3 linked regions of the Mus musculus genome follow. The protein of the gene in region 2 purifies or fractionates together with the protein of the main gene of each other region. This does not show direct contact. Links are inferred from orthologs where the notes say so. Each region holds a gene or a part of one and is shown on either strand. Other genes may lie near its edges.

The links.
Region 1: the proteins of Copb1 (region 2) and Copg1 fractionate together in Homo sapiens (co-fractionation; 11 studies listed by BioGRID and IntAct, counting the BioPlex papers as one, with this or other methods). This does not show direct contact. The link is inferred for Mus musculus from reciprocal best matches to the Homo sapiens genes COPB1 and COPG1.
Region 3: the proteins of Copb1 (region 2) and Copg2 purify together in Homo sapiens (affinity purification with western blotting; 4 studies listed by BioGRID and IntAct, with this or other methods). This does not show direct contact. The link is inferred for Mus musculus from reciprocal best matches to the Homo sapiens genes COPB1 and COPG2.

What each region holds. Positions count from the first base shown.
Region 1 is NC_000072.6:87,893,492-87,899,901, forward strand, and holds part of Copg1 (coatomer subunit gamma-1), read left to right. Parts: intron 1-304; coding exon 305-462; intron 463-549; coding exon 550-683; intron 684-2,202; coding exon 2,203-2,270; intron 2,271-2,435; coding exon 2,436-2,624; intron 2,625-4,461; coding exon 4,462-4,557; intron 4,558-6,410. UniProt on the Homo sapiens protein: The coatomer is a cytosolic protein complex that binds to dilysine motifs and reversibly associates with Golgi non-clathrin-coated vesicles, which further mediate biosynthetic protein transport from the ER, via the Golgi up to the trans Golgi network.
Region 2 is NC_000073.6:114,215,426-114,221,835, reverse strand, and holds the end of Copb1 (coatomer subunit beta), read left to right. Parts: intron 1-73; coding exon 74-193; intron 194-2,164; coding exon 2,165-2,310; intron 2,311-4,124; coding exon 4,125-4,214; intron 4,215-5,217; coding exon 5,218-5,373; intron 5,374-5,898; coding exon 5,899-5,958; 3' UTR 5,959-6,277; downstream 6,278-6,410. UniProt on the Homo sapiens protein: The coatomer is a cytosolic protein complex that binds to dilysine motifs and reversibly associates with Golgi non-clathrin-coated vesicles, which further mediate biosynthetic protein transport from the ER, via the Golgi up to the trans Golgi network.
Region 3 is NC_000072.6:30,811,333-30,817,742, reverse strand, and holds part of Copg2 (coatomer subunit gamma-2), read left to right. Parts: intron 1-904; coding exon 905-1,000; intron 1,001-1,568; coding exon 1,569-1,812; intron 1,813-3,956; coding exon 3,957-4,032; intron 4,033-4,895; coding exon 4,896-4,999; intron 5,000-6,024; coding exon 6,025-6,150; intron 6,151-6,410. UniProt on the Homo sapiens protein: The coatomer is a cytosolic protein complex that binds to dilysine motifs and reversibly associates with Golgi non-clathrin-coated vesicles, which further mediate biosynthetic protein transport from the ER, via the Golgi up to the trans Golgi network.

The DNA of each region.
Region 1 (6,410 bases), on a different chromosome or scaffold from region 2:
TCCCACAGGACTATGCTCATATCTTGCCCTAGCTGTGTGCTGCAGCTCTTTCTATTCTGGTGTCTTCTCTCACATGGTCAGGATACCTGCAGGGTCCAGAACTCTGGTGCAAGTGAGAACATCATGTATGTGATAGTGTGTTGGGCACGACACTGGAGTTGGTTACGGGGAGTGCTTGGGAGTTGTTCCAGCCCCTCTGTGTGGACATGAGTGCTGTGCTTAAACAAGAAGGATGGAGCTAGAGACACACAGTGCCCTTCCCAGGGCTTCTGTGTCTGTTGCCCATGCTGCCTCTGTCCTTCAGTACCATGCCCTAGGACTTCTGTACCATGTGCGGAAGAATGACCGACTGGCCGTGAGTAAGATGATCAGTAAGTTCACCCGGCACGGCCTCAAGTCCCCCTTTGCCTACTGCATGATGATCCGAGTGGCCAGCAAGCAACTAGAGGAAGAAGACGGCAGGTGAGGACGCTGGTCTCTTGCCAGCTAGATGATGCCTTCTGCACTGCTGGACTGTCCCCAACTTCTTGTTGCTTTGTTCTTTGGTAGCCGTGACAGCCCGCTGTTTGACTTCATCGAGAGCTGCCTGCGTAACAAGCATGAGATGGTGGTGTATGAAGCTGCCTCAGCCATTGTCAACCTGCCAGGCTGCAGTGCCAAAGAGCTGGCCCCTGCTGTGTCAGGTCTCCATATATCCCCTTCCTTGCTGGGCACAGGCCCCGAGCCAGAGATCTTCAGATAGGCCATGATGTAGGGCTGTCACAGGTGTTGCTTTAAAGGAGGGCTGTTTTCAGTTCCATCTCAGTGCTGGTGGGGCACTGCTGGGCCAGCTGGCTCCAGAGGAGGACTCGGGGTGGGGCCCAGGACCTATAAAGCTCAGGGTGCTTGCTCATGGGGCGCACTGGAACTCACAGCTGGACTCACTGCAACTGCCCTGAGCAGGCAGAAAGCCCCTGTCCTCTGTCTGACCTTCCTCACCAGGCCTCATTTCCCTTCTGAAACACAAAGGGCCCTCTTGCTGTAGGTGGTACCGGTGGGATCTGCACAGGCTACTCAGTAGTGTGACACACACTACTGAGTGCATTCTGTGTGTGTTACTAAGGAGAAGCCAACAGCTTTCAGTTGTTTCTGCTCTAGCGAGCAGAGCAGTGCCTGTCTCCCTGCCGGATGCTGGCGTTGGGATGAGAGTAGAGAATATGCACCTGGGGCTTGAAAAGCTAAAGAGCTGCTGCAAAACAGTTGAGAGGTCAACGAGGGTCTGCATAGGGTTTCATGAGGAGGAGAGAGGGATGAATATCTAACTCAGGACCCGCCCAGAGGCAACGAAGTAAGAGTTGTAATGATTGGACTGTTCTTCTAGAGGTCTCCACAGTGGTGATGATACTAAACTGGTAGGAAGATAGGCTCAATTATGGATGCATTTACTCACTGACTAGAGACTAATGTACTCCTATGATAGTCTCATATTTCCAGAAAATGAAAGATAAGAAGTAGAGGCTTTAAAAGATACATCATCCAACTATTTTAAGAGAAATGTTAGTTCCAAAATAAATAGATAGGTAGATAGATAGCAAGAGAAAAGCTAAGCAATATTCTAGAATACAGTCCCATTCAAGACTATACTAGAACATAGACTTTAGCTGTGAGCTTCGGGCAGGCAGGTGGAGGGAATAGTGTGGTCCCTGATAGACACAGCAGTGGTCAACTCTTTAGCACTGATCCAGAGAGGAATACATTTGCTCTTTGAGAGAGGCTTTAGCCCCCTAGCTTGGTGCTGAGGTATGTCCTACTGGGTCCTATGAACATAGAAAGAGAGGTGGCTAGGTGGGCTGCAGATGTGGACAGCCCGTGACTTACCCCTTTTGCTGTCGGGTAGCTGCTACTAAAAGTCACTTGAGGTCCTTTGCCGCTGTTCCCAGGGAGTTCAGAGAATCAGACAGGCACAGCATCCACTCAGTGAGGGCCTAGCACAGGGCAGGTGCTTAGTCTATGACGGCCATTGACACCCACAGGGCCCTTGCTGACAAGGTTCAGGACGAGGCAGTTCTGCTGCTCTCTGCTAAGCAGAAGGCTTGTGTGTGACTAGCCCGAGAGCTTGTTCACCTTTGATCCCATGCCATTCCCTGGGAACCCCAGGTATTCCACTGACATTCCCTTGCCTGGCATCTAGGCAGCCTGATGACAGTGTCTTCCTCCCTGCAGTGCTCCAGCTTTTCTGTAGCTCACCCAAGGCTGCACTTCGCTATGCTGCTGTGCGCACCCTCAATAAGGTAAGAGTTGAGTGGAGAGGAGGGGATGCAGGCTGGTCCAGCTGCTGTCTCCTTTCCCTGAATGGACTGGGAGGCGGGTAGACATGGTCCCCAAAGGACCTCTGGCCAGGCCAGAGGTGAAATGACAGAATTGGGTACTGCCCGGTGTCTGTCCTCCCTCTGCAGGTGGCTATGAAGCACCCTTCAGCGGTGACTGCCTGCAATCTAGATCTGGAAAACCTGGTTACAGACTCAAACAGGAGCATCGCCACATTGGCCATCACCACCCTGCTCAAGACAGGGAGCGAGAGCAGCATTGACCGCCTTATGAAGCAGATTTCCTCCTTCATGTCGGAGATCTCAGATGAGTTCAAGGTACCCAGTACCCTCACAGCCTGCAGTCCCCAAGACAAGGGAGATGGTCTGAGCCTGCTGTCCTTCCTCCCAGTTTTTGACCCTCTGTCCCTTTGAACCTTAAATACAGTGTGCTAGAGTTTCGGAAGTGGGGCAGCAGTGGATGGGGCAGATGGGAACTGTCTGTTGGGAGAGTAAGGTTTAGAAAATGAGCAGACATGTAAATGAGCAGTAGCCTGAGATGCAGTGAGGAGCTGGCCCTGAAGTAGCAGCTGCTGGGGAGGAAGGCAGTGTGAGCCAGGGAGAAGGGGCAGGAGCAGGGATTGGGAAAGTACTCGGAGACAGGCCAGCTGGGGAGCAGGTCAAAGTGGTGACATCAGAACAGGCTGCGGTTGTTTCCTGACGTAGAGCTCATGGTAAAGTTCTAATTGTAAAAAAGTCGTTTGGAAGGATGGTGGTTTGGGACTTATTTTTTCTATTTTTCAAATCAAGACAGGGCATCCCTATGTAGCTCATTCGACCTTGAACTCAGGATGCTCCTGCTTGAGCTCCTTCATTGCTACTGGGATTACCAATATGTAGTGCCCTGCCTGGCTTTCATTGTCCTTTCTGTTGTCATTTCGGTTTTTCTAAACAGGCTGACTTAGAACTCAGTAGAATACAGACTAGTGTCAAGCTTGGAGCAATCCTCCTACCGTCTCCCAAATGCCAATAGTAGAGATGTATGCCACTGTATCTGGCTTCTCTTACTCTTTCTTTTTTTTTTTAAAAGACAGTGTTACTCTTTGTAGCCCTGACTGTCCTGCCACTCACTCTATTGACCAGGCTGGCCTCGAACCCACAGAGATTTGCATGTCTTCCTCCTGAATGCTGGGATTAAAGGCGTGTACCACCACCACCCAACATATTTTTTAAACTTTTACTTTAGAATAATTCACAGGAGGTTGCAAATAAATAACTAAGAGGGGAGCCCTGGGCATTTCTTTCCGCTCCAGTGCCCATATCCAGCACAGTTGTAGTTGATGAGGAAACCAGCCGTTGTACGATCTAGAGAGCTTACTTCGATTTCGTTGGTTACGAGATGCATGTGTGATACCTTTCAAAATTGCTGCCACAGTCAGACTTAGCATCACTAGACAGCACTCAAGCTCTCCATTCCTAGCCCTGCACCCCCGATTCTTGACAGTCGCTAATATATTCTTATTTTGCATAGTTAGATTATTTCATTGTTATATAAGTGGAGTCATGAAATCTGCAGAGTTTCTGTCAGCAGATAATAGTAGGAGCAGTTTTTAATTCAGCAGGATAAATTCTAGAGTGTGGGTTGTACAAACTGGGCAGAAATCTACTCTGCCTGTGGGTTATATGAAGGCGATGTGGTGAGATTTGCAGATGAGAATAACCTAGCCCTCCTGACAGTGGAGGATGAGTTTGAGGAGACTTGGATCTCAGAAGATGAACTGGCTTAGGAGCCTGCAAGAGCGGTGATGTGAGAGCCATAGAAGGACTTGAATCAGTTAAAGACAAGGGAGGGGAGAGCAGAGGGAAGAAGTAGGAATGCCAAAGAGACTTCAGGAAAAGAGAGGAGAATGGAATGTCAGGTGAAAACAGAAAAGGCAGGGAAGAAGCCGGCCAGGCAGGGCTTGGAGACCGAGACACACTTGGTCTGCCAAGACTGCCATATTTCCCCTGCCTTAGGTGGGTTCAGGACTTATGCCCCAGCATGGAGAAGTGTTCCTCCTGGTTTCATCTTATGTTGAGCCCAGGGCATGTCTTCCCCTGGAGGGACTCTGTGGCATTTAGTGAGCAAGTCCCCAGGACTGTCAGGGACTGCCACTCATTCAGGTCTCTCTCCCAGGTGGTGGTTGTCCAGGCCATCAGTGCCCTGTGCCAGAAGTATCCTCGAAAGCATGCTGTGCTCATGAACTTCCTGTTCACCATGCTAAGGGAAGAGGTAAGGGCGGGGCCGCTGGGGTCCTTCACATTCTGTTGGTGCAGAGAATGGCCTGACTGCCAAACTTGTCTCTTGGTGTTACGCTCAGAACACTGTTAAACGGCTTGTTTCCGCGCCTGCGGCGCTTTAGACTCCGTGCACAGATGAAGCAAGAGCAGCAGCTGTCATAATTACAGTAGTGATATGTGACTCACCAGCATGGCAGCAGGTCCAGCAGGTGCCCCAAGGCAGTGCTTATACAGAAGGGCGGGGCATGGGTTCTGTTATGAAGTCTGGTGGTGCAGGATGCTGCATGTCAGTCAGGAGCTCTTGGAAAACTGGGGCTGAAAAACACAACATGGGTGCCAGGATTTTGTTGGGTGTTGTTTGTTTGTTTTAGTTTTGTGACAGGGTCGCTGCATAGATCTGGCTATCCTAGAACTTACTATATAGACCAGGCTAGCCTTGAACTGACAGAGATCCACTTGTCTCTGCCTCCAGAATGCATATCTGTAAGAAATGAACTTCCACTGGGCATAGTGGTGCCCACCTTGAATCCCAGCAGTCTGGAGGTTTCCTAAACAAACCTAATGACTTGATTTTAATCCCTGGATTCCATGGTGGAAGAAGAGAAACAACTTCTAAAAGTTAACCTCCTGTCCATGTTTGTGACATGAGATATATAGCCCTGTATTCACATACATTTTTAAAACATACACACAAAATGATAAGTGTGTGTGCATGTGTGTGCGTGTTAGTGATTTGGGGGGGGGTTGGAGAAAGTTTAGGAGTGCATACTGTTCTTGCAGAGAATCAAACTTTGGACTCATGATTAGCAGTTGATAACTGCCTATAACTCCAGCTGCAGGGGATTCAACACCATATCCTAGCCTCTCTGAGTACCTGTACTTATGTGTACTTATGTGCACATATCCTCACATAGACATACACACACACACACAACACACATTTTAAAAAAGAACAAAAGAAAAAAGGATTCTGGGAACTGAAGGTGTAGTTGAACTGGTAGGATGCTTGCCTAGCATGCTCGAAGCCCTGATTTGGCCCCAGCACTGTATAAACTGGGCAGGTGATACATACTGCACTTCCCATGCCTGTATTGCACATCCTAACAATTGGAAAGCAGAAACAAGGTTCAGAGCTCAAGGCCATCCTTGGCTACATAGTGATTTTAAGGTTAGCCTGGGATACACTAGACCCATCTAAAGAACTGGAACATGAGGCTTAGTGTGACTTGAGTGGAATGACCTGCCTCTCAGGTAAGTCTGAAGAACAAGCAGAACACTTTGTGGTATCTGAGCTCAGGTGCCTCTGGCCCTTAAAGCACAGGTTTCTCTCACTGAAAAAGCCCAAGCTTTGTCTCCTCAGCTTTCTGGCTCCCTCCCGGAAAGTTACATGCTTTCTGTAGCAGTGAAGGTTATGAATGGCCCTCACTGAGGGGCTGGAACACTCAGACCTGAGAACTTGCCTTGCCTCTGCTGACATCTGTCGTGCAGCCAGGACGTGGCTGCCTGCAGCAGTGAGACTGAAGCAGCGTTTCGGGGGTTTATAGCCTAGTACCTCACTCACTGTGGTCGCATGCTGAGCACACAGCACCTTGTTTTCCTTTTCCCCTTGAGATTTGTTCTTCCTATGTTGTCCTGGCTGGCTGTGAATTTAGGATTGTCCTGCCTCAGTATCTTGAGTGCTGGAATTACAGGCATGGGCCATGCCTGGCTCAGATCTCACCTTATTTGTTCTTCAGAATAACCTGTAAGGCTGACACACGAAAGGCGAAGTGAGGGGCCAGAGAGATGGATAAAAAGACACTTGATCCCTGACACTGAGAGCAGAAAGAAAGCCAGGACAGGAGA
Region 2 (6,410 bases):
ACATTTTAATACTGTTTCATGATTAATAAATGTGCTTTTAGCTATATCCAAATTCTTGTTTATTTTCTCTTAGGGGATCTGAAACTTGTGGAAAAACCATCTCCTTTGACTCTTGCTCCTCATGACTTTGCAAATATTAAAGCTAATGTCAAGGTAGCATCAACAGAAAACGGAATAATTTTTGGCAATATAGGTATGGTTCTGTTTTATGGCATGTGATAGTTGAGTGTTTTGTTTCTTTAAAGAATGTGGTATTATGTACTTATGGTCGTGCTTGAGGGCAGAACATGAATCTGCTGATTTATAGGGTACTTTATATGGTAACCAAGCATTGTATTATGTTCTAGGTAATACCAGATTGAGCTGGGTGGAGGCGTCATAGTCCTCAGGAAGCCACTAGGCAGGATGAAAGGACAGATGTAACAACAGTGTGATTAGAATGAGTTTGATACACGGCATACTTCGGGGTCAGATAGAAAGCAGTGTAGTGTGGGAAGCTGTGTAAAGGAAGATTTGTTATTAAGGAACAACATGTACTAATCATAAAAATTCATAGAGGTCCTTGTGGCCAAGCACACAGGAATATTTCAAACGTTGAGATAGGCTTGTACAGAAGAATTCAGTCAGTATTTACTAGCAATTTCTGTTATAGGCATAAACTACCATAGTAAGGAACAACAGATAGGTCTTAAGATGGTTAAGGTCAAGTAAGGGAAAACAGGATATACAAAATAAGTTCCATACATAAAGCTAAATGTAATGAAAGATACGTATATGAGCAGTGAGTGAGTCCATGAAGGGATTTGATCAGTTCTCAAAGTGTTGTAAGGATTGAAAAGTTAGGAAGGGCTTCACAGCTCTCGTTGAGTTGGATTTTAATCAGGAAGTAATCCACAGAGGATTGACTGCAGGCAGAGCAAATGCACATGGAACGATGGGCTGAGCAGTTAGAGTGAAAAGCAAATTAGGAAGTCAGGAAGGCTGACCCTGCTTGCCCTGCAAAAGAATTGAGTACTTAAGCATGGAACAGGAAGACACTGGAGGATGACAATGAGATGTATGGTTAAATATTTCTGTGACAGCAGTACAGATGAGAACTCTGTAGAGGACACGGAAGATTGCCTGAGTAGGTTATTGAAGACACCAAGTGAAAGGGGAGAGCACTGCCTAACCTGACAGAGCAGTGCTTAGATAGAAAGGAGGGGGAAGTAGAGCTCTTTAGGGGTGTGTCTTTAGATACAGGACTGTAAACTGACGAAGACAGTTTTGATAACCCTCCGTTTCCCTAAAAGTAAAAAGAGAACTTAGACCCCTATCAGAGTAGAACTTTAAATTTAGGTTTTAGTTTTAGGGGAGACAAGGGAATGGTGATGGACGGTGCTTGTTGTTAGTTGGTTGTTTTCTTGAGACATGGTTTCTCTGTGTATCCTGGCTATCCTGAAACTCATTTTGAAGACCAGGCCAGGCTGGCCTCGAATTTAGAGACTGGTTTGCCTCTGCCTCCCAAGTGTTGGGATTAAAGGTGTACACCACCACCTAACTTTGGTTAGTTGGTTTGTTTGTTTGTTTGTTTTTCCTGAGACAGGGTCCCACTGGGTAACCCAGACTAGACTCAAATAAAGTAATGCTTCTACTTTAGCTCCAACTTCTGAGATTATAGGCATGTACCATCCATCACAGCCATCCCAGATTATGTCTTTCTAGGGAAGAAACAGTCTTGGAGACAGATAATCTTATATTACAAAATTGCATCAACATATAACCAAATATTAGGAGGAAAAGTTTAGATTTATAACTAGATCTCAACTATGAGAATACTGAACTATTTGTGTATCTGGCGTAGTACCTGGCCCATTATAGCGGCTATATAAATATTCACCAACTTAAGCGTAACAACAACAGACAAAGTGTACCTGAGCCCAAGTCCTGAGTCTTAAGTCCTATTGCCTATCAGTTCTGTAACCTGAGGTAACTTACTTGACTTCCCTGCTTTCCTAGTCTGCGAGATGGAAAATCGTAAGGTACAATTGATGGCACTATTCAGTTGGTAATATTTATAAAGCACTGAGAATCTAGTATATATAAATATTTGCTAATATCATAAATATTTGCTATTTTGAACTAACTTCCACCCTTTGGGGATCTTTCTGTATGTTTATTACAGTTTATGATGTTTCTGGAGCAGCAAGTGACAGAAACTGTGTGGTCCTCAGTGACATCCACATTGACATCATGGACTATATCCAGCCTGCAACTTGCACTGATGCTGAGTTCCGTCAGATGTGGGCCGAATTTGAATGGGAAAATAAAGTTAGTCATTGAGAGGTTTCCTATGCATATCTTCCTGATGACTAGTGCTGAGGGCTTTTTTTGTTTGTTTGTTTGTTTGTTTGTTTAAATATTTTTTTATTACATATTTTCCTCAATTACATTTCCAATGCTATCCCAAAAGTCCCCCATACCCTCCCCCCCCCACTCCCCTACCCACCCATTCCCACTTTTTGGCCCTGGCGTTCCCCTGTACTGGGGCATATAAAGTTTGCAAGTCCAGTGGGCCTCTTTCCAGTGATGGCCGACTAGGTCATCTTTTGATACATATGCAGCTAAAGACAAGAGCTCCGGGGTACTGGTTAGTTCATAATGTTGTTGCACCTACAGGGTTGCAGATCTCTTTAGCTCCTTGGATACTTTCTCTAGCTCCTCCATTGGGGACCCTGTGATCCATCCAATAGCTGACTGTGAGCATCCACTTATGTGTTTGCTAGGCCCCGGCCTAGTCTCACAAGAGACAGCTATATCAGGGTCCTTTCAGCAAACTCTTGCTAGTGTATGCAATGGTGTCATCGTTTGGAGGCTGATTATGGGATGGATCCCTGGATATGGCAGTCTCTAGATAGTTCATCCTTTTGTGTCAGCTCCAAACTTTGTCTCTGTAACTACTTCCATGGGTGATTGTTCCCAATTCTAAGAAGGGGCAAAGTGTCCACACTTTGGTCTTCGTTCTTCTTCAGTTTCATGTGTTTTGCAAATTGTATATCTCAGGTATACTAAGTTTCTGGGCTAATATCCACTTATCAGTGAGTACATATCATTTGAGTTCTTTTGTGATTGTGTTACCTCACTCAGGATGATGCCCTCCAGGTCCAACCATTTGCCTAGGAATTTCATAAATTCATTCGTTTTAATAGCTGAGTAGTACTCCATTGTGTAAATGTACCACATTTTTTGTATCCATTCCTCTGTTTAGGGGCATCTGGGTTCTTTCCAGCTTCTGGCTATTATAAATAAGGCTGCTATGAACATAGTGGAGCATGTGTCCTTCTTACCGGTTGGGACATCTTCTGGATATATGCCCAGGAGAGGTATTGCGGGATCCTCCGGTAGTACTATGTCCAATTTTCTGAGGAACTGCCAGACTGATTTCCAGAGTGGTTGTACAAGCTTGCAATCCCACCAACAATGGAGGAGTATTCCTCTTTCTCCACATCTTCGCCAGCATCTGCTGTCACCTGAATTTTTGATCTTAGGGCTTTTTTTTTTTTAAGTAATTCCCTCTAAAAAGCAAACAGCTTTTCATTATCTATTTCTGTGTATTACCTTAACTAGAAACCATGCAAGCCCTTTAATAATTCCATTGGTGAATTAAGTAGAATGGCAGTTATTTCTGGGATCTTGTGATAGTATCTTGCTCTCTAGCCTAGTCAAGTCTCCAGTGCCTGACCCTCCACCCATGTCATCTTGGCACTGGCACTATGAGTGTTCATCACCATGCCTACCTAGTCATAACTCTGTAACTACTTTGGTTGAGACAGTATAGACAAGATTCCTCTTCTTCTGTGACCAGGTGATAATCTACCATTGGCTCTTGTACCTTTGAGGCTGTGCAAAGTCTGTGGCCCAGTGGGAAGCTTTGTCCCTTGAGTTTTACTTGAACTCTGTATTTCCTTGATGGTCTAGTGAGATGTCTGTGTCTGAAGCCGCTGCCGATACCAGTTGGTTTCGTAGCAGTCGTTTACTTTTTTATTGCCCACACTCCACTCTTCCCCTCCATAGTTGAAGGAAAGTGTAGGATGAAAAGACAATGCAGTTTCACTGTAAGGCTCACGGAGTCTTCTCCTCTGCAGGTGACAGTTAACACCAACATGACTGACCTGAATGACTACTTACAGCACATCCTCAAGTCGACCAACATGAAGTGCCTGACTCCAGAGAAGGTAGGAGGAGACTAGAAAAGGCTAAAGTCCCTAAAAAGACTAGGACAGTAGTTGGTTGTCTTTTCCGGTTTCCTCTGCCATTTTTTTATAATAATTCAGCATGGGAAAACTGAGTTGCTCTGGAATATGAGAGTAATAACTACCCACAGATATTTGAGCTGCTCACCTCTCTTCTGAACTGTGTCTTCCCACTCGTTCATGGCTATGCCTTAACTGGGACAGTCAAGTTACTTGGGTTTCTTGCTTTTAGTTTTTTGTCTTCTCCATCTTTCAGATAAGAGACTTTATTCTATAACCATTATTTATTTGTGATACTAGATTAGCAAATGCCCTCCTTCGTGGGCTAATTGTACATCAGAATAAATCTCTAATGCAGTGGCTTTCTGCTATCTACATGCAAAAAGACTAGAACAAAGACAAAATGAAATTGAATCTCTAAGTATCTTTCTTTAGAAAATTTCTGTTAGTGCCATAATGTGCATCTCCCTAATAAGAGAATGTCAACTGTCATCTGGGTGTGTAGCTCAGAGATAAAATGTTTGCTTAGTATCCAACACACACACACACACACACACACACACACACACACACACACACACACACACACACACACAGGGAGCAGGGGGCGTGGAGGGCAGATGTGTTTACTGCCAAACAAGTAGATTTTGTATATTAGTTTCTTCAACAATTTCTAAGTCCAACAAAAGAAGTCTTTCTTTATGGAAGTTAAAAGCCTGGTACAGGAGAGAAATAAGAACAAGAATATATAAATATAAATTTGAAGAGATACTCTCTTCAAAGTTATGTTTATTAAGTATAATATGCACAGGGAATTCTTAAATTTTTACACATACATTTATTTTGAGTTTTGGAAAACTCATTAGCTCCTATACCCAGTACCACATAAGTAAAGCTTTAAATAATAGTTTGCATGTATATTTGAGTTTGCCAAGGTATAATTCTTTAGCAAAGTATTTAATTTATCACACATTTTTCCCCCCAGGCCCTTTCTGGATACTGTGGCTTTATGGCAGCCAATCTTTATGCACGTTCTATATTTGGAGAGGATGCACTTGCAAATGTCAGCATTGAGAAGCCAGTTCACCAGGGACCAGATGCTGCCGTTACTGGCCATATAAGAATTCGTGCAAAAAGTCAGGTAATAACATCCTTTTTTGAGAGCATCTCTGCACCAAATAAAGGGAAGAAGAATTCATGTCTGTCTTATTTCTGTGGTATAATTTCTTCTGTCATAATTATGTTTTGTGCATAAGACATACATACATACATATGCATGGTATTTTCTGAACTTTAATTCATTTAAAATGGCTTATTCTACAATACTGCCTAAAACATTGATTCCTGTGTGATATTTGTGAAACAGATTTTGTAGAGTTTTTTGAAGATATGGCATAAGTCAAGCACTAACCAACATAACTAAAATCAACCCAGTATAAGTTTTTAGAGTCTGTTTTATATATCCTTTGCTTTGTTGTTGAATGTGATGTCATCCAATGGAGGCTGGTATAAGCTATTTGGGCATTGTTTCAGTAATTACTTCTTTGTTGAGTGTGGGGATATAACTCAGTCTTGGGAATGCTCTTCTAGCATGGTAGACCATGAGTTAATCCTCAACATCACAAAAAATAGATCAAAATATGAACATCTTCATTCTTCTTTACAGGGAATGGCCTTGAGCCTTGGAGATAAAATCAACCTGTCTCAAAAGAAGACTAGTCTATAAGGATGAACAAAAGGTCTTTGAAAGTTTATGCTTAAAATTTAGGTGTGGGCTGATTGGACTCCAACATCTTTTGTACTCTTTTCATGCTTTATGTTATGTAGAATTTGAGTTCATGCTGAATGCATTCCAGCCAGTAATTTATAGCCTTTCCCCTAAATCAAGAATGAGTTTAAAATTATAGTCTGTCTTTTATCTTAACAGTTCTGAATGCTGTCCTCAAAGTATATAATGTTTCTCATATGTACCAAGACCATTTTCACAATAAACAGATCTGTTCATACATTTTTGTTATTTTATAAATAAATTACTTAATTTTAGATTTGTATCTGTGGGATTTTTTTTTTTACCTTGCTGCCTACATTTATGAAGAAAGCTTACAAATTGAGTGAACTGTATCTTCATTTATGAAGAAAGCTTACAAATTGAGTGATGTAAAATGGAACAGGTACTAA
Region 3 (6,410 bases), on a different chromosome or scaffold from region 2:
ATTCACCAAGCTAGCCTGTCCACTGGCTTCCCACCTCTCCTGTGTCCTCCTCCCCTCTAGATCACTGGAGCAGCATTGGGGTTACGGATACTCATAGCTGTATCCACACTTGGGTCCTCACACTTGCTTGGCAAGCACATCACCCACTGATCTATCCGTCTCCCCAGCCTAACCATCTTCTGTATTGCCAAAGGTCATTTCATACCTCTCTGTGAAGTGCCTGTTCAGTTTTTCCACCACATTTTTTACAGGATTTTGTCTTTTATTTTTTCCATATTTTAACACTTCTCTTATGTTAAAGATACAAACATGTGAAACATGTTGCTACTTTTCCCCCCAGTTTTCCATTTGTCTCCTGTTAGAATGGATTCTGTAATGCTCACGGTTTTTGTTTGTTTGTTTGTTTTTTGTTTTTTTGTTTTTTGGATTGTGGTGTAGTTATATTCATCAGTCTTTTTGTCTATTCCATCTGATTTTTAGTCATTGTTAAAATCCTTGTACTTCTTATTGTGGAGGAATTCACTCATGTTCACTTCAGAAACACTTATACTTCCGTGTTTTATTCAAGTTTCATATGTCCTTGCTCTCTGCATTTCTCTATCTACTTTTTTATCTATTTGTACACACCATTGCCACACAGTTTTTAATAAGCTTTGTCGACCCTGTTAGCAGCTGTTAACTTCCCATCAAGGCTGTTGTTACTGTTTTCCAAGCTTGTATGTTTTTTTTTCTTATCAAAATAAAGCTCCCTTGTTTCATAACATTTTTATTGTTATTTTTATTGGGATCATATTAAATGTATAAAGTACTGTAGAGGAGAACAAGCTATCTTATTGATGGTGAAGTCCTAAGCAAATACCAGGATTGTGTTCAGCCCCTTTGACTGCTGTTTGCTTTCCTCCAGGTGGTGGTCGTGCAGGCCATCAGTGCTCTCTGTCACAAGTACCCTCGGAAGCACAGCGTCATGATGACTTTTCTTTCCAACATGCTTCGAGATGATGTAGGTAGTAGTCTACGTTTTAACATAGGAAGTTGTTCTCTTAAATTCCCTCGATTGCTGTTAAATACCACCACAGTGTTTTTGTTGTTATTGTTTTTAACTCACTTCTTCATGGTTTGTATCATTATTTTTTTCTTTGATGTTGTAATGCATATATTCAATGTATCTTAATAATGTCCACCCCTTTCCTGCCCCTGGAGGCTCTCCAACTCAACCCAGGACCTCCCATTAGTATTTTAAGCATATTTCTTTATCATGTGTTAAATATATTTCTTTCTCATTTCTGTATACCATGCAAACATATACAGAATTCCAACTGCTGTATTTATTACAGCTAATTATTTTCCCACTTGAAGGGGAACAACTTTGTTTTTATTGTTATATTAAATAAAGTTAGTTGAAATTTTAATATTATAAGCATGAATCTTAAAATATAAGCATTTCTTTAAAATAAAATTCTAAAAAGTTCCTTAAAATGGGAACACCATTGGTGGTGGGTGGTGGTTAGATTTTAAAAAAAAAAAAAAGTCTTTAGAACAAATAGCAGTTTTATCTTCTCTTTTCTCAGGGAGGTTTTGAATACAAAAAGGCCATTGTGGACTGCATAATCAGCATTGTGGAAGAGAACCCTGAGAGTAAAGAAGCTGGTCTAGCCCACCTCTGTGAATTCATTGAGGACTGTGAACATACCGTTCTGGCTACTAAAATTCTCCACTTATTGGGCAAAGAGGGCCCTAGAACTCCTGTTCCCTCCAAGTATATCAGATTCATTTTTAATAGGGTGGTCCTGGAGAATGAGGCTGTCAGAGCTGGTGAGTCATTAGAGCACAACTAATGATGTCATTGCTGGTCTTTGAATATAGGTGATTCAAGAGAGTAGTAATGAAGTTGCAGGTTCCCTAATGTTGTGATATGATCTTGGAGGACACCCTGGTTCCAGATATACAGCTCTTCTTTTGTGTTTCAACTTCCACACAGATTTTTGCCTTTAATTAGAGACCTACAGCCCTTGTCTTTCAGTGTGACAGGAATACTATAGTGGGGCCTCTATTTTTTCTTTAAACCATAAGTAAAATGTATAAGGATTTATGTATGTATAGATGTGTTCATATATACATCTTAAGTGACTCTTTCTAGTCTATTACCTAGAATCAGTAAATTCTCCTGTGATCCCTTCTCTTATAAACTATTGACCTTATCTATCCTTATATTTTGTTTCCAGATAAACTCAAAAATGACATCACTAGTTGCCTTTATATGCTCTTTGTCCATTTTTTTTTCAGCTCAATAAAATTTGGCCCTCTTTAAATTCTTTCTTGTTTCATTTTTAAATTACATATAAGTTAACTGGTCAGTCAGACTACTTAATATTTTTATCTTAGTTCACATTCTTCTAGATTGTTTTTTTGAGCTTTGTTGACTCCTGAATATGAATGTTCACACCACCCCTCAAATATAATGTGAAATTCAAACTACTTCAAACTGAAATCTTCACTTGATCCTACTCTCACAAGACAGATTTCAGTCACAGAGTTGAACCTTCCTCTGTTCTTTACCACAGTGCTGTCACTTTTCTTCCCTCCTGATTCTTCATTCTCCTGTCTTTATGTCGTTTGGTACAGCTTTAGGCTTTCATTCATTTCTGATCCCTAGCTCATCTGTTTCTAGTTTCACAGACAGTATTTATTAGCTGAATGTGAAGAGCCGTCATTAAAATAGCAAACTTGGGCTGGAGACCTGACTTAGCCTTAGGAGTACTTACTGCTCTTGCCAAGGACCTGAATTTGGCTTCCAGCATCTACATTACATGGCTAACAACTACCTGTAACTCCAGTTCCCAGAGGATCTGATATTTCTGACCTCCCCTAGCACGTGTGTTCATGTGTACATAGCTGCACACAGGTGGATATACATGATTAAAAATAATTTGTACAAAATCTTAAAAAAACAAACTACATATATATCCTATACCTATGTGGGATAATGTAACCTTTAAAACCTTGACGTCTGTGTGGTTTTTAGTTTATCTCTAGTCTTTTACTTTCATTCTAACATGGGTCCAACACTAAGCCTTTCTCACTCAAGTCTAATAGCAACACTTTCTGCTCAGGACACAGGACGTTTTGATTTGTTTTCCTTTCTAATACTCTTGTCCTGCCTTTTCCCTCTGGCTGAACTAACTATCCTAAAAAATTAAGTGCAGTAGCATCTCAAATCTTTGTCTTTCCTAAGCCCCGTACTTACCTAGCAACTTGGATACAGTTTACGAGAGATTTACTAGGCAAGATAGTCTTTACTTGTCTATCTTACTGCAGCCACACTCCTTAGGTTAGAGACCATGTCTTTTATCTTTCTACCCCTTAGCTCTTGCCACACCTCCAGGTAAAATTTAGGTGAGCATTGAATCCTTGTTGAATGAAAGAAATTTTAATAATAGTTTTTTGGTGCTAGTTGTTTAAAATTTGAACTGAATCATGTCAGAGGATATATAAGAGGCTGTCATGGGGAAGAGACAGCTCACACCCAGGAGATAGATAGGTGGTAGATAGATAGACAGATAGATAGACAGATGATAGATAGATAGATAGATAGATAGATAGATAGATAGATAGATAGATAATTATTTTTCCTCGCTGAATGAGAATCTTCCTCTATAGAGTTTGCTAGATTCTTCACTATTCTATTTATATTTAAGTAAGATCAAGAAACTGTCAACACAAGAGACTTTATTTCTATTGACTACCAACTGCTTCTCTAATTTGCTTCTAGTTTTGGTATTTTTGTTTTGTTTTGTTTGTTTTCCACTACAAGGTCTTACTTTGTAGCTTAGACTGGTCTCAGACTTTGAGTAACCTTCCTGCCTTGGCCTCACAAGTGTCTGATTTGTTTTTGAATGTTTATTGCTTAGCTCTGAGAAGCCAGTATTTACATTGCTTCATCTTGTGTTTCACAATAGCTGCTGTGAGTGCTTTGGCTAAATTTGGGGCTCAGAATGAGAGCCTTCTCCCCAGCATCCTTGTACTCTTACAAAGGTATGTAAAAGAATGAATGCTGGCTGTTGGAAAATAAGAATTCCATGTAGCTAAGTAGTAAAAAAACCTCTTTGTACTATGTCAGATAAACTGAGGAGCCAAGAGTAGAGCTGATAGAGTTAGTCCAGGGCAAATGGAGTTTTGGGGGTCTGGTTGTTTTGTTTTTGGTTTTTTTTTTTCTAGTAATTATTTATGTGCAAAATTTGAGTTTTAGATTTCTTTTAAATGATACTGAGAGAGTAAGGTTAACCTGTGTACCTCAACTTGTACAGTAGGTACTAACTTAAAAGAGATGTGAAATGATTCGTATGAAAAGCTAAAGATAGTAGCCTTTTATGATCTCCATAACTCCTTGGTTGGTGAGGAAAGGAAAAAAGTTGGTGGTCCTTTTAGCAAATATTTTGTGATTGCATTTTATAACTAAAGCAATTAACTCATTAGCCAAAGACTGAGACTAACTAGTTTAAGTAAAACAGATTGCCATTTGAACAATGGCTGTCTAGATTCTGAGTGCTAGTTTTCTTTTTGTATCCTTAGAAAGTTTAACATTTCCATTTCTTAGTTGTAGAAAAGCTGTCTTTGTTGAGCTCATGTAGTCACAGGTTCAGGATTAGATTGTAAATTATTATGTCATGGTATTGTGTTCTTCCTAGTGATCTCAGTGCCTTCTCAAATAGCAACATTTCTTTAGTAATTCGTAACAGGTCAAGAATTTTTAGGATGTTAGCTATTATTGAACTCTTGTCATAAAAGTCATATCAGATGACCTCAGCTGCACTCTTCAGGTAAGTGGTGAGACTGTTCGACATCTCTGTATACAAAGACTTAGACAGAAGTGTGCCTATACTATTTTTTCTGATCAGGTGTATGATGGATACTGATGATGAGGTACGGGACCGAGCTACCTTCTACCTGAATGTGCTACAGCAGAGACAGATGGCCCTGAATGCTACATATATCTTCAATGGTCAGTGAGAGTCAGGATTATGGACACATAGCACATTTGTTTGTCAAATGAGCAATGTTTTTTTTTTTTGTTTTTTGTTTTTTTGGTTTTTCGAGACAGGGTTTCTCTGTGTAGCCCTGGCTGTCCTGGAACTCACTTTGTAGACCAGGCTGGCCTGGAACTCAGAAATCCGCCTGCCCCTGCCTCCTGAGTGCTGGGATTAAAGGTGTGCACTACCACGCCTGGCTGAGCAATGATTTTTATGCTGAGTCATGTATTAGCTGACTCCTTTAGGCAGTTGAATGTTTTAAATCTTTGAATGCAATTCTGTTTCTAGAGAAACCCATATTCATAAAGGTATTTTCTAATTTGGTAATAGCAGTTCCTATAAAATAATAGAGAAGATGATTTTTTTTTAAAATATGAAAGGGTCCAAAGAATATGGCTTCTTAAGCTCCCTCTCTACAGAGTGAGCTCCAGGACAGCCAGGACTATAGAGAAACCCTGTCTCGAAAAACCAAAAAAAAGAAAAAAGAAAAAACTTAAGCTCCCTCTTAAATGGCTGTCCCCATTTTCATTTTCTTCTGCTTTTCTTGTTCCCATATAGATAAGATATTTTTTTATGAGAATTGCTTGCATTCTGTTGATATTTTTTATTCTTTGTTCCCATGTTTCCTTGAAAGAAATAAAGCAGCTTATAAGTTTATGAGGCAGATGTCTATAATAATCTTTTGTTAGATTAAGTAGGCTATCTACAGCTTCCTAATGCTGCAACCCTTTAATACAGTTCCTTACATTGTAGCAACCCCTACCATAACATTTTTGTCACCACTTCATAACTGTAATTTTGCTCCTGTTATGAATTGTAATACAAATATGTGTGTTTTCTGATGGTCTTAGACAGCCCTCGTGAAAGAGTACTTTGATCCCCACAGATTGAGAACCACTAGGCTATAGTTTTTTGTTATGTTTCTCTTTCTTTAAAAAGCTTAACCATTACAGATTGTTGAGAATAGATTATAATGTTGAGATTTTCCTGTCTCTAGGTCTGACAGTCTCTATACCAGGGATGGAAAAGGCCTTACACCAGTATACATTGGAGCCTTCAGAAAAACCCTTTGATATGAAGTCAATTCCTCTTGCTATGGCTCCTGTCTTTGAGCAGAAGTCAGGTATCAGAACTGTTTACCTCTATGAGTTTTTCTGTGTGTAAGTCATTTCATAAAAACTTGTAAATATAGCGTCTAACCTGGAGAATAAAAATAGAAAAAGATTTTTAAAAATAGCATAGTTTCTCTCTCTTTCATTTTTTTTTTTTAAATTCTTGTTTGTTTGGTTTTTGAGGCAGGGTCTCTCTATGTAGCCCTGTCTTAGAACTCACTATGTAGACAAAGCTGAGCTGAAACTCATAGAGAGCTACCTGCCTTATCTT